2 linked regions of the Drosophila melanogaster genome follow. The gene in region 1 interacts genetically with each later gene. Each region holds a gene or a part of one and is shown on either strand. Other genes may lie near its edges.

What was found.
Region 2: of Hr4 (region 1) and grim, changing one suppresses a phenotype caused by changing the other (phenotypic suppression), as found in Drosophila melanogaster (one study listed by BioGRID).

What each region holds. Positions count from the first base shown.
Region 1 is NC_004354.4:1,939,949-1,945,464, forward strand, and holds the start of Hr4 (hormone receptor 4), read left to right. Parts: upstream 1-1,991; 5' UTR 1,992-2,056; exon of another isoform or gene 2,057-2,478; 5' UTR 2,479-2,916; coding exon 2,917-2,945; intron 2,946-5,516. Other genes in the region: CG3857 (uncharacterized protein), read right to left, coding at 1-6; CG3587 (uncharacterized protein), read left to right, coding at 439-703, 762-1,108, 1,176-1,463. UniProt on the Drosophila melanogaster protein: Coordinates growth and maturation by mediating endocrine responses to the attainment of critical weight during larval development.
Region 2 is NT_037436.4:18,301,634-18,306,150, reverse strand, and holds grim (grim), read left to right. Parts: upstream 1-1,733; 5' UTR 1,734-2,051; coding exon 2,052-2,468; 3' UTR 2,469-3,432; downstream 3,433-4,517. UniProt on the Drosophila melanogaster protein: Activator of apoptosis, independent of rpr and hid, that acts on the effector Dredd.

The sequences.
Region 1 (5,516 bases):
AGCCATTCGGAAGCCGGTTATTTGGGGTTTATATTTGACTAAATTTAAATCGGTTTGAACACGTTCGTGGGTGTCAACGCTAATACATTGTTTCGCAGCACTGGTATGTACATAACCATCGCAGATGTCGTGGAAATATAGCTAAAAAGCGAAAAATACGAAATTAAGGACAACATTTTTAATTTCAGACGCAACAATCGGCTGGCCCAACAAATAACGGTACACAAGATTATCCACTTTTTTTTATCACAATTGCACTGGACTTATAGCCAAATATTTTTAATCATGAGAAGTGAAAGGCAAGCACATATCTAAATCTAGCTCGAAACCAGATGGATGCTCATCTTGCACACTGTCACCAGTGTTGGTAACCGAGTGCATTGTGAGCGGAACGTTCCGACACCTACTTTGTTTATTTATTGTTATTAATTAGGAAGCATGCCCCTCGTGGTGATTACGGGCCTGCCAGCCAGCGGAAAGAGCACACGTGCCCGCCAGCTACGGGATCATTTCGTGGAGCGCGGCAGGAAGGTGCATCTAATCAGCGAAAACGAGGCAGTGCCCAAGGCGGGTTTTGGAAAGAATTCCCATACAGGTGATTCGCAGAAGGAGAAGGTGGTACGTAGCGATCTTAAGTCGGAAGCCTCGCGTCACCTTAACCAGGAGGATCTGGTCATCTTGGACGCCGGGAACTACATCAAAGGTGAGCTCTCACCAAGGTTCAGCTAAGGTTCGTAAACCACAACCAAAATTTCTTCCAGGCTACCGCTACGAATTGTACTGCATGTCCAAGGTGTCAAGGACCACCCAGTGCACTGTGTTTACCTGCATACCCCAGGAGGAGGCGTGGACCTTTAATAGCCAAAGAACGGCGCCGGATGAACTGCCTGGCGACAGTGAAAGAGTTCAGCCGGTGGACAACTCGGATGTTCCCTACACCAGAGAGACTTTTGATGCTCTGTGCCAGCGCTACGAGGAGCCGCAGAGCAACAACCGTTGGGACAGTCCGCTGGTGGTAGTCTTGCCCAAGGACACGCTCGACATGGAGGCCATCTACAAGGCCTTGTACGAGTCCCAGCCACTGCCACCCAACCAGAGTACTTATAATGTAAGCGTAGAGCTTGGCCAGAGTTGAAGACAAAATATCACAAGTAACTGCTTTGTCCATTCCGCAGGCACCGCTGGGAACAACCAACTACCTGTTCGAACTGGACAAAATCGTGCAGGCGATCATCAAGGAGATCCTCGGCGCCGTCAAGATCAAGGCCTTCGGCCAGCTGCGCATCCCAGGGAGCAGAAATCCCGTGAAGGTCGCCACTTCGATGAATGCCCTCCAGCTGAACCGCCTGCGCCAGAAGTTCATCACGAGCACGTGCCACGCCAGCCAGACGTCACCCACTCCGCTGGAGCAGGTGCCGCACTTGTTCGTGCAGTTCATCAATGCCAACACGATCGGCTGCTAGCACTGTGATTGCGACAAGACAAATGCTAAAATAAAGTTCTTACCTCGGGCAGCAGGATAATGTTTTTGGGCTGATGTTGACACAATTTAATGTGGAAATCAAATAAAATATGTAGCTTAAATACTAATATGAAAATCGTTTTTGATTATTATTATCACTATGGATTAATTAAGTTGACTCTTCTGGGTTCTTGTGGCGTACTTAATTGCAGTGCATTTTCTGCTTATTTATTATTTCGTAAGGAAAACAATACATTTTTGTTTGTTCAAAGTGAGTTCAAAACTACATGAAATCAATAAAAAAAAATTTACGTATTTCCATTTGAATTTAAAAAATATTTTCCTTCGCCTATAAAATCTACTCTACTTACAGCGAAAAAAGTTCAGTGAACGAACTTTTCTCTTGCGCAGCGGGAACGAAGAGAACCCTCTCTTGAGCGCGCTCTTCGGGCGCTCTCTTCCAACGCAGCGCTGCAGCACGAGATTGGGGCAAGTGGAGTGGTGGTGCCAGTCGGTGGTGGATTGTTCAGTGTATCCCACGAGCTAGTCGCGCGCGGAAAGCAAACGCTTCGAAAATCAAACGATATTTCCGTTGTGGGTTCCCAAGAAATAAAATAATAACACAAAACGAAATAACTATTTTTTTACGTTTTTTTTGTTGCCTCTCCAGGATTTTGTTGACCATCGTAGATTGGATATGTGAAACAAATTTTAAGGGCCTCCACTTTCTCTATCTCGCCCTAGCAGCAAGGTGCACTGTGTGTGTGTGCGACAATTTTACAAGTGCAACATGAATAAATGCAAAGAAAATTTTTTTTTTAATTGTTGACAACAAGAATTTGCAAGCATCTTCAAAGATCCAACAGAAAATTGGCTTGTTTTTGTTTTGTGTGTGTGTGTACGTGTGCGTGCGTGCGTGTGTGTGTGCGGCGCAAATATAAAAAAAATGCATAACGACACCTTGGCACTGACGCTATTTTTTTAATTCTATTTTTTATGTGTGTGTTCCGTTGCAGTTGACGTTTAACCCCCACCCACCCAAATAAAGCAAATCTAACTAAAGAGTCCTGCAAAAAAATCAACAGCTGCTTGATCTTGAAGCCTCCATATCTTGAAATCCTGCATCAGCCAACAGCCCCAAAACAAAACAAAACAAAACGAATGCAAATACACTAATGTGAACAACAACTAAATTGCTAGTGAAATGTTTTAAGCCAAATGCTGTGAGTGTGTAACAAAAAAAAAAAAAAAAAAAAAAAAAAAAGAAGAGTGATTCAAAGCAACCGCAAGCAATCAACTTGTAACGGTAGTCGGATACTCGCTTGCCCGCGGAGCATGGATATCGCCCCAGTTCCGCCACCACCATTATCGATATCCGTATCGCTTTCGGCTCCAGGATCAACGGTATTCGCAAACGCTGGCCACTAGAGAAGCGTCAGCCGAATGCCTCAAAGATGACACCGCTGCAACGGGACCAATTGAAGTGAGTACCACTAAGGATTCTCTCTAGCATTTAAGAAGTGCGAAATACATTCGCTTGGATTATCGATAGGACTAGGGAGGTTTCCCACACTAGATCATATTAGATCATGTAGATAGTGCAGACCGTTAGAATTAGAATTCAAGGCTCTGGCCATAAATACGAGTAACATGTACATTTCGCCAAATGGCGCAACACTTTAATCACTGACCAATAATCCGGGTGATGGCATTATAATTGGCCTACGGCTGCGGGGTTCTACAGCCCCATAGAGCCCAGCTGGGCTTAAGTTCAGCAGTTTAGGAGGCGCTTGGGCTTAGTCACCGCGCCTTAAAGTTCACCAAAAGGGGTGGGAGGTGGAGCAGCAGCAGCAGCAGAAGCACATGTTGGCCGGTTCGTTGGCCTGGCCGAGATATCTCGAAATAAAAAAGTTCGAGCTCGAGTTCGCCGCTCTCTGTTTATGAATGAAACGCAACGAGGAAGCGCGCGCAAAACTCAAAGCCAAAGAGAGAGGCAAAGAGAGCTGAGAGAAATGGCCAGAGAAAATGGAAATGGAAATGCGGAACAAAAACAATGAACGTAAACGTCTCTTGCTCTCTCTCTCTCACGCTACCGATGGCGAGTTCATCGACCTTTGCTATTGAAATTTTTGGGAACGCACTCACACACAGATACGAAACACGCACACGAACACAAGCATGTATGCGAGTGCTGCTTATTTACACATTGATAAACAATCGTTGATGCTGAATGTCGATGACTACGATTTTAATGCCGCTAAACCCCAATTATATTAAAGGCTTGCAGATGCCCTTTCTGGCCAAGTTTCCATATTGTATGTGAAATGATGTTCGATTTGCGATAAACCAAACACGCAAAAAACGCGACCGCAAATAAAGGGTTGTTCGCGTATGTTTATAATAGCTACCTTCTTAATTTTCTTGTTACATTTTTGTAAACAAGTATTTCGAAGTATTTGAAATATTTGTAAGCTATCAAAAATTATTTAAAATTATGTTGTGTCTGACTCCTGTTTGTGGGAAGGGCATCGAAAGTGCGGCGACATTTGTGCCACCCATTTATTGGCTGGTTTCTTCTTCCTGATTGCGATGTGTGTGTGCTTGTGTGTGTGTGTGTGTGTGTGTGTGTGAGTAGCGGGTGGGTTGGCAAACGCACGATAACAACGCCTAGAACTTGGGGACTCTCCGCTTGGCACGGGAAGCGAGGGGGTGGCATCCAGAAATGGGGACTGGGGCCATTGGGCATTGTTTTGTTTCTGCTCCCTGCTTCTTCGCATTACGACTGCCGCTTGTTACCAAGTCCCAAATGACTCTACATTGCTATATGTACATGTGTGCCTGGGCGCAGGGGAGTAGGCGGCAGTTGATTAAGGGGATTTTAGATCCCAGGACGAGTCCTCGCAGCTCGGACATTCTCGGGAATAGTAAAGGCAACAAAACCTGGCTAACTTCAAAGGGTTCTTGGTTCGGGGTTCCTGGGCTTTTTGGACTTTTTGGGGTCTCTGCACCACAAAACTTGAATCCCCTTTGCACGCCACTGGAATTCTTGTGCGAGTGCTGTATCTGTGTGTTCGTGCGAGGTCAATGACCAAAAATGTAGTGACAAGGGCGTCAGAGTGATTCCAAAATTTGTGTATATTTCGCCATTACAGCAAAGAAACAAGGAAGAGACCGTAAAAAAGGGGCAATGCTTTATTCTGGTTTTGTGTCTGTTTTCTCGTTGCTCTGTTGATGTTTTTCGTTTCGGGTATTTCTGGAGAAGCAGTTAGAACTTACCCTGTCCAGAGCCACAAACGTTGAAACCTTCAAAATCGGTTTCAATGTCATGTAACCCCCGTTTACATGGCTTACCCGTGCGCGAAAGAGACAGACGGACGGCAGGGGTGGCAAAGGTTTGGGCAACGCAAACGCAATCACACGTACGTTGGGCGCCCAATTATGGGAATATATGTATGTACATATGTATTGGGAAATGCCCATGCAGGCAGGAATCCGGGAAACCGAAAACCAATGGCTTTCAATCCCGCATCCCGAATTCTGACAGCTGTCAAATGCCGAAAGCCATCTTAAATGGCACACTTGCGGTGCGAAGTAGATTCCAGTTTTGGTGTTTGTCTTTAGCTGCTTCAAATATTCAGGGTTGTCGAAATGGAAGCTTAATGAAGGGATTTACCCTTCTTATATTTTACAACAAAAAAAAACACTGTTTCGAACTTTTCGCTGTGTAAAAATTTGTGTTGCATATACACAAGTGAATACGTGCGTGGCTGTCGTATTTGTTTCATTTCCTTTTGTTTCGATGCCTTCGATTCCATTTCGTTTCGCCTTGCATTTTAATCAATGCCAATGAACTTGAAGTTTATTTAGCGCGTACTCAATATCTCCCCTGGGATAAGGTGCATTGCCCACTTGAGAACTCCACAAACCTGAGAAGTCGCAACGTTAGCGTAAACACGCCTATCAGTTCCGTGTCCATCCGTTCCGCTGGATCGTCGTTCCATTCCCCGTTCCCCGTGGCCCAATGCCACTCGGTTCACAGTTGCTTGATCCCCAT
Region 2 (4,517 bases), on another chromosome or scaffold:
CCAGAATATAACGACCACGTGCTGTCAACTGTGTCAGGAAAAGCTCACCCACACTTTCTTTGGAGGAGCTGTGCTCCCTAAACGAATTTCATTGTCAAGGTCGCACGCACAAAAATGAAGAGGAAAAGCTGAATGTGGGTGGAAATGCCGGCCGGCACGACCTTGAAGCCAGTTGGGTGAGAAATAAAAAGCTTTTGCCGGTAGGAGACTTGTGGAACATCACCCACAAGTGGCGGACTTGGCCTTGGCGATGGCCTTGTTGGAGCTCCCTCAGCAAAAATGTTACATAGGGGGAGGAAATAAGCTCAATTGGCTTTATGCTTTCCGCTCCCTGGAAGTCCTTTTCTGGAATGTTAAAGTGTTAAATGACATTTATTGAACATTTGGGACAGAGGAGGAGATAATACAATATACTTGTCTAATTAAAAAAAATCGTTATTATGATTTATTCCATATGTAAGATTTTAATTCATCATGATTGTAAATAAATTATATAAAACAAATTCAATAAATTTACATTATTGATAAAATTTATTTTTTCATGAAATTATACCCAAAAATTATTCTCAATTTTTCTTATAATCAGTTTTGCATAAGTATACTTTCTTCATACCCCTCTACCACAGCCACTGCTTTCTTGACTTTGCAACTATCCGGGAACAGCTTATCATAATGGATGAGCTGCAGCTAACGGAAAATGGGGGAGCTGGGATCAAACATTTTCCAAGGTTGAAATTGTCGTCAGCATAATGTTTGAGGGAGCTGGATTCGCGTTAGCTTGAAGGTCAATCCATTTGGGTGCCCTTTGTTATGGTCAAGTTTAAGGCTGCAATAGGGGGAATCTTCAAGGACCATTACGCAAGGTTTTCGCATCAAAGATTTGCCGTGCAAGCTTTTTGAGTTGAAGGATGCTTAACTTGAAAGCGGGTTAGTGGTTCCAAGAGATTTTAGGTGAAGGAGACTCCGCTGTTTTGAAATATATTAAGTATGTAAAGAAGTATACTATAAATAACCCAAAGTGATACAATGTAAGAAAAGATCTCGTTGGTCCCTGGTATAAATTTGTTTGCCATTAATGAATATTGAAAATAATAATTATACTAATAATAGGTACAATAAGCAAGATTAAATTGCATTTAATCACCAAAAATCAGTTTCTATGCGAACCAAAATGTCATAACAAACAATTGTTGATTCATCCGTAGTGAAATCCAAGTTCGAAATTCGAAATGAGCATACGACGACCAAACTTCCCCTCAAAATTGCTAGACTCAGCTAGAGCAAGTACGCCCAAGTTAACCCCTGAAATTCGAAATGAATTCGATGCCGCGCTTCGAACAACGAAATCCCAAAGAGCTTACGTTTTATTTGACGTAGCACTCTTACGTGAAATGATTTTCCCCAATTCCGCTCTCATTTCCCGAGTCTCTCACCGCTTCTCAGCCACTTTCCCACCCCCTTTCTAGTTCCGAAGTAAAGGTAACAAAGGCAGCCGTGTCTTTGGGGTGGTAAACTGGCGGTGGTGGTGGCACATTGTCAGTGGTGTGGGTTCCTGTGGTTGGTGGTTCAATTGGTTGGTTGTTGGCATAAACAAAGCACACACACAATACACACAAACTCCCGGGGGGTGGTGGAAATTGGGAGGGTGACATTCACTGCGAGAGAGGAACTCGCTTCCTATAGGAAAGTACAAAGAGAGCTATTTTATAAATGTGACTGCAGCAAGGATATTTACAGTCAGTCCACTCTGAAACCTCGACGAGAGAACATTGAATAACAAGCGGAAGCGAAAAGCGCAGTTGAAAGTTCGTCAAAAAGCGACAAGTTTCCTCGTTCGTTTTCCCGCCAAATGAGTCAGAAAAATTTTCCAAGTGCTCGATACGAAACATAAAGACTTACAAGACTTAAAGTGCAAGCAGTGAATGGAATATATTATTCCTCAGCGATATTGAAATCAAACATTAAAAATATATGCTACACTAAAGTTATATATTTTTTTAAAGATTCATACGTTTTGTAAAATCACATTTTGTATTAAATTAAATACCGCCATGGCCATCGCCTATTTCATACCCGACCAGGCCCAATTGTTGGCCAGAAGCTATCAGCAAAACGGCCAGCAGACAGCAGCGAGTCCAAGGACAACTGCAACAGCTGCTGCACCATCGCAGCAGCAGCAACAATCGCAACAACAGCAGCAGCAGCAGCGACATCATCATCAGCAACAGCGCCCACAATTCCGTGCCAATATTTCCGTGCCGCTGGGAAGTCAACAGGGATCGATGACCATGTCGGAGTTTGGATGCTGGGATCTTTTGGCCCAGATCTTCTGCTACGCTCTGCGAATCTACAGCTACAGTTCGAGCCAGCGTCAACCGACGGTCATTCAGATATCCTTCGAGATCAGCAGCGGCGGTCAGAACAACGATGAGGACGACGTGACTGATGCCACCTCCAAGGAGAACTAAATTTGGTTTCCATATTTCATCCTGGTGGAGAGAAAATCTTTGGGATTTTCTGGGAAAGGCAGGCTCAATCAAAGCGCATTGTGATTTCTTTTTTGGGTATGGACACATGAGGAGGAACGAGTTTTGTAAAACATGGGATATTTCCACAACAAAATAAGAAAACTATTTTTAAACTATTTTTGAGAGAGAGAAAATTCAAAATTTGTCATCGACTTGCTTAAAGTGATTTTGGTTGTTTGTTACTTTTTTGGATGTCAAATTTTCCGATATAAGTTTTGAAAAAATGTTTAATTTTGCAAGCAAAGGTTTCCCGGTTGGTTCAAATACATAAACATACTTAACAACATTTAGAGAGCATAAAGAGAAATGTGTAAAATTGTCATAAACCTTATTAGTGTCTATACGTATGAGCAAAACCACAAGTATCGTACTCAACTAACAAATAATTGTCAAATTTTCTACTTCAACTACTTCAACTACATTTCAACTACTTACAAATATAAATCGTAAACTAATATTACAGAACTACAATACAGAACCAACAACAAAACAAAGATGCAACCGCAGCAACAAGAATAACAAAAGACAACAACTCAATTGTACAAAATAGATTTTAAGCAAACAGCAAATTTTATATGTTTACAACAAAGAGAGAAAATACAAAACGTCTACAAAAAATAGAATACAAGAACCGCCGAACAGAATACATTTTAACAAAAATTAAACAAAACAACAACAAACATTTAAGCAATTTTGATACGAATAATCAAGAATAACAAAATTTGAAATGTATCTTATCATTATTATTGATTTTAGCAAAATTCAAAACATATTATTTTAATTTTGGCATTGCAAATTAAACAAGAAATATTGAAATTAATCACATGTAAAGATAGCATTTGTAAGAAATTAAAATTTTTATAAGACAAACAAGCAAAAAATAAATACAATTTTATAAAAAATTAAAAAATACTTTGAACGATTATTATTGTCCCTTTTCAGAAAAACATAAAGAATTTTACCAACACCATTGCCGAGATATATATATTTAATTACCTTTTATTTCGGAGGTGTAGAACTCTATTAAAATGTTTTTGAAAAATTATTCGAAGCGTTTTTAAAATATTTTAAAAATAAACTAAAACGTTTTTAAAATAAATTCAAAAGAATATTTATTTGTTTCACCAAAGTTTTTATAAAAAAATACGTCAAAATAATATGAAATTTTGTTTAATACACTCTTTTAATAACCGCTTATGAATTAAGCCTTTGTATTCCATTTTGGGCAATGAAATGGCAAAGGATAACCGTCCTGCCAGGAAAAGGCGGAGTAAGCAAACATTTAGCGATCGCTATCGTCAAAACCAATATGTCACCTTAAAAGGGAAAACACATTTTTGGTTAAGGGCAGACAGAGAATTTTCCCGTCGTGTCATGCCAGGCACACTCCACCCAAAAGGGTTAAAAAGCAAAGGTGACGCTTAACCGCAGATCCCAGTTTGTGCCACCAATGTCCAAGTCATCGGGCTCGGGGTCAAAGGGAAAAAGAGGAAAAGGGCAAAGGGGGTGTACCCTTTAGCAAGCCCGGAAACCCATTTAACCCCAGAAGTGGAAAAAGTGTAACATCTGTGGCAGCAAGCGATCAGCGGCGCCTGATAAGTTCGCCAGTCAAATAATAATTATGCAAACATTTCGGGCCGCTAATTTGCCGCCTATCTTAATTTAAATCGCTCAAAAGCGCACTGGAACCAGCGCACAAGAAATTGTTTAATTGTCGTGACATGACAATAAGCGACCTGGAAATTAGGGTCCTTCGCTATCCTTTTTTTTCGCGTGTGGCTTGATTTTTGGCGATGATAAGCAAGGGGGAAATTATAGGGTATGCAAATGCTCGCATAGTGTCAGTCGCGTGTCCTGGATCAAGTTTTCATTCGGGTTCGTTTTCCACTCAAATTCCTTCTTAGCGCCTGCAATTATGCTCGGCGGAGAGACAGTTTATGATAACATATTTGTAGTTAATTTAGTTAAATTAGTGCCACATATGTTAAA